2 linked regions of the Kluyveromyces lactis genome follow. The protein of the gene in region 2 purifies or fractionates together with the protein of the main gene of each other region. This does not show direct contact. Links are inferred from orthologs where the notes say so. Each region holds a gene or a part of one and is shown on either strand. Other genes may lie near its edges.

What was found. The genes of interacting proteins can lie anywhere in the genome.
Region 1: the proteins of LSM6 (region 2) and XRN1 purify together in Saccharomyces cerevisiae (affinity purification with mass spectrometry; 5 studies listed by BioGRID). This does not show direct contact. The link is inferred for Kluyveromyces lactis from reciprocal best matches to the Saccharomyces cerevisiae genes LSM6 and XRN1.

The regions. Positions count from the first base shown.
Region 1 is NC_006042.1:2,094,035-2,096,096, reverse strand, and holds the end of XRN1 (chromatin-binding exonuclease XRN1), read right to left. Parts: coding exon 501-2,062; downstream 1-500. Other genes in the region: BUD13 (Bud13p), read left to right, coding at 1-404. UniProt on the Saccharomyces cerevisiae protein: Multifunctional protein that exhibits several independent functions at different levels of the cellular processes. 5'-3' exonuclease component of the nonsense-mediated mRNA decay (NMD) which is a highly conserved mRNA degradation pathway, an RNA surveillance system whose role is to identify and rid cells of mRNA with premature termination codons and thus prevents accumulation of potentially harmful truncated proteins.
Region 2 is NC_006041.1:232,660-234,682, forward strand, and holds LSM6 (U4/U6-U5 snRNP complex subunit LSM6), read right to left. Parts: upstream 744-2,023; coding exon 501-743; downstream 1-500. Other genes in the region: GTPase-activating protein RGA2, read left to right, coding at 1,858-2,023. UniProt on the Saccharomyces cerevisiae protein: Component of LSm protein complexes, which are involved in RNA processing and may function in a chaperone-like manner. Component of the cytoplasmic LSM1-LSM7 complex which is involved in mRNA degradation by activating the decapping step.

The sequences.
Region 1 (2,062 bases), on a different chromosome or scaffold from region 2:
TATATAGAGACGAAAAAGGTAAGGTAATAGATGGATACGAAGAAGAATTGAAACTTCGAGAAAAGGCTAATTTGACAGCGAAAGTACGTAAGGAAGAAGAACTTAAAATACGAAATATAGGCGAAGTACAAATATCAAAACTTGATCGCAAAACTGAGAAAAGTGCATTATTATCAACCGAAGATCCATTGAATCAAGGAAACACCCTGCGAGGAACGAATACGTCACTGTTGGGTCGAAGGCTTTACGAGAAAAACTTTCCAGAAAATCGGTTCGGTATCGTTCCCGGTTATAGATGGGATGGAGTTGATAGATCAAATGGGTTTGAAACTAAGTGGTTTGCTAAGAGTCACGATATCGCTGATCAAAAAATAAAGGAACAAACAACAAACCGGGAATTTTGAAAAGTTGAACCTGAAAGTGTCTCTATTCTTATATACTAAGCATTATTTACTGAAGTGATATAATATTTACTGTTAATAGTCCATTCAAACCAACATTCAGGTTTCAGTTTTTTTAGGAGAATTTTTGAAATGACCACCCCTCCCGGAGGCACCACGACCACGATTACTACGGCCACGACGACCGCCACGAGAATGAGAAGATCTCTTTGTATCATCTGAGTCTTTATTCTCCACATTTGCTGTACGTCCATTCTCATCTCTAATTAGGAGATTCTTAAGATTCCTGGATGCCTCTTTATCTAATGGTGGATTTTGTACAGGTTGTGACTGAGGAGGAGCTGCATAAGCAATATGCTCATTATTCGGAATGAAAGGCGGCTGCATCATAAGAGGATGAGGAATACCACCAGGAACCATATGTGGGGGAACAGTGAAATTGTAAGGCAGAGAATTTGCTGGAGGTGGTTGAATTTGCTGTTGAGAACCTGGTTTGATTTGGTTCAAGACGGCATTGAACACGTTGTTAGCAGCCGAAGGATTTAAAGTGTTAACTGCTATTTGCGGAGCGGATCCAGATTCGGTATTTGATTCCGCGTTATCCTTCTTGATATGATTTAACAACTCATGGGCTTGCTTTTTTTTGAGTTCCTCCACTCTCTTCTTTTTTGCGAGGGCGACTTGCTTATCATTAGGAACTGCTTTTGGTTTCTTATCAGCACTCTTCGATGCCTTTGAATGATATACCAATTGTCTATCAGACAAGTTTAATAAGAAGGAAGAGTCCAATCCCAAACCACGTCTGGTCTGCAACCTACCACCAAAGTTGTTTCCTGCAATTATTTCATTGTCAAATAGAACTTGGATTGAGACGTTCTTGCCAATTGAAGTGTAGCCAACGACAGTACCTTTGCTGTGAAGTGGAACCTTGCCTGAATCTTGAATGTACATTACCCTATCACCTAAGTGGAACCTTTGGGAGCGCAATAGAACATATGACGATTCCGCATTTAAGATTGCCTCACGTGGGACCTTAGCTAATTTCTTCTGCTCGCTTGAATCTGGTAAAGAAACGTATTTTATGATTTCAGATTCAACAGCTGCCATCGAAGCCTTGGTTAGCGAATCACTTTCCAAAGACACCACCACGAATGGTTTTCTTGCTTCTGAGAGCCAATCAGCCACTGTTTTCAAAATGGAATCAGCTTCCGCGCTAGATTTGTTAGGGAAGAGATCAGTGATCGATGGAATTGCTTGTTCCTTCGAGTTAGAAAGTTTCGCAAAGAACTCAGGGAATGTAGATCTGAACTGCTCTAACAAACCAAGAGCGACGTCAGAGTATTCCCATTTGTTTGAGCTGCATCTGGCATAACCGAGAACTTTTTGATTTCTTGCTTTGAATTTGATCATCAAACCGACGTTATGGCTTTTCTTTTTAGAATCATTGACCAAATATCTTGAAGTAATTTTTGACAAGAAGAGAGGGTGGACACGAGCTATTTTTGAAAACACTTGTGTTGGGTAGAATCTCAAGGCTTGAGAATCCAATTTCGCTCTAACTTTTCCGATGTTAGGCTCTGCTCTGAGAGAACCCTTTTTGACTGTAAGTTTTAATCTAGTCTCACTATTATAACCATCAACGGTCGCCTCCCCACCATACG
Region 2 (2,023 bases):
ATTCTCAAAAAAAAACTACAACATGATATGAGGTTCGCGGTTTGTTTGATCTGAAAGCTTTCTTTATCACAGAATAAATAAGAAACTACGAAAGGAACCTCTTTGATCTCCTTTTCTCTAACGATATGACAATAAATTTTCTCTTTTAAGAATCATGATATAAAAATTTGAAAAGAGTAATGTATAACTCACTGGTACAAGGTTAATATATATTATTATTGTATTAGATATCTACATATTCTTATTATTTTAAAATAAAATCAGAATTTAAATTTATGTATGCTTTGGTGCTTTATATATGTGCATCGTAGTATTTTTTAACACTTTCCGCTTTGATAACGTTCCATCTTTATAGTATACAATTATATACTTTTGTATATAAATTATTATTAGTATTATCATATTATTGTAGTTATTGAGCTTCTGAGCAAATAGGACACTTTATAATATCGACTTACAAAAGTCATTGGTCGAAGTCAATCTTATTGCCCAATCGAAGCCTATTTTTCGCTAATGTATAACACCTGCGATCCCCTTAGAAATACTTCAGAAGGATATTTATGCAAAGTTCCGTTCTCTTCTGCCTCATAATGTTCCGACACTTGTGACATTGTGACGTTCATAAACCCATCAATTGATTCTAGCTTACCTTGATACAATATTCCTGAGAATAGCTTGACGTATACTGGTTTTCCAATGATGTTCTCCAAAAAGGAGCCAGAAGCCGTTGCCTTAGATTCCATGATGTGTTAACAATCTATGCCTTTGAAATTTGGTAGCGTCGAAATAAAGATATGAAGAAGCCTGTAGTTCTTGCATCTGAACCTACTCTCATCATTCTCCATCAGTTCAACGTTATATTAACAAAGTTCACTTTTCATTGTTCACGTTGAAGTAAAAGGGAAAGAATGTTCTAGTCACGTGATCTGTGGTAAAGTGAATTAAGTGATATGCAGTAAGTAATAAATTAATTAATTAAATGAATGGAAGGGAACAGCGCAGATTATAGTAATATATTGCTCTAGCTTGGAAACAAATGTCAAAGGTTCTTCCTGGATACATTCCGACAACAACCAGCATTCTTTGACTCCAATTTTAGCCAAAATCTTCGAACTCTAAGACCTTGAAACAAAGAAACTGAACTCCAAATCACGCCTGCACACCACATAGTTCAAACATTCTCAAACCTGGTTCCTGATTTTGTTTCAATGCATATATACATTTCGAAACCGTTGAGAGACAGCACTAATTTACCTTAGTGGCTCTCTGCAGCTGATAGATATGCTATATCAATTCAGCTAGAATATAATTGACGTGGTGTGCTGTTTACGTTTCCCTATCTAATTGACTTCCATATTTAGCACTGGTTAGGACCGATTGTACATATATATAATCAAGATTGAGACACGATTTATTTATATCAACTCGCTTCAAACGTTTCGGATTTTAACAAGATAGGGCTGCATTCACTCTCGATCAAAACATTCCTTGAGTTAATTGAACCCTCGTATCTATATTTCGATCTCAACATTCATATTGAGGGAATTTACTCCGTCCACGAGGAACAGCTTGGAATTCTTTTCCCTTATATAGTACTCTCTAACGGTGCGTGGCAAGAAAATATCATAGTATAAAGCCGCTGCTAATACATCTCTCTATTAACTTTTTTTTTTTTTTGGTGTGTCGTGCTCTTTGTGCGTGTTCTGTTATTATTATACTTTCGATTCGAAGATTAATCTTAGATTTCTTTTCAGCTTTTGATCCATTAGATCAAAAAGTTATTGATCCAGGGACAAACGAACACACTACAAGACCATCACCTCCACAGCGTGCTACATCTGCAAAACTAATTACCGTATGTCTGCCTCTCCGAAGGGGGCTGCTGAGACGTCAGTATGTGTTCGTTGTACGAACCATATTACTATGGGTCATGCGTACGAATTAGGCGGAAATAGATGGCACACCCACTGTTTCTCCTGCTACAAATGTGATAAGCCTCTAAGTTGTGACTCGGATTTCTTAG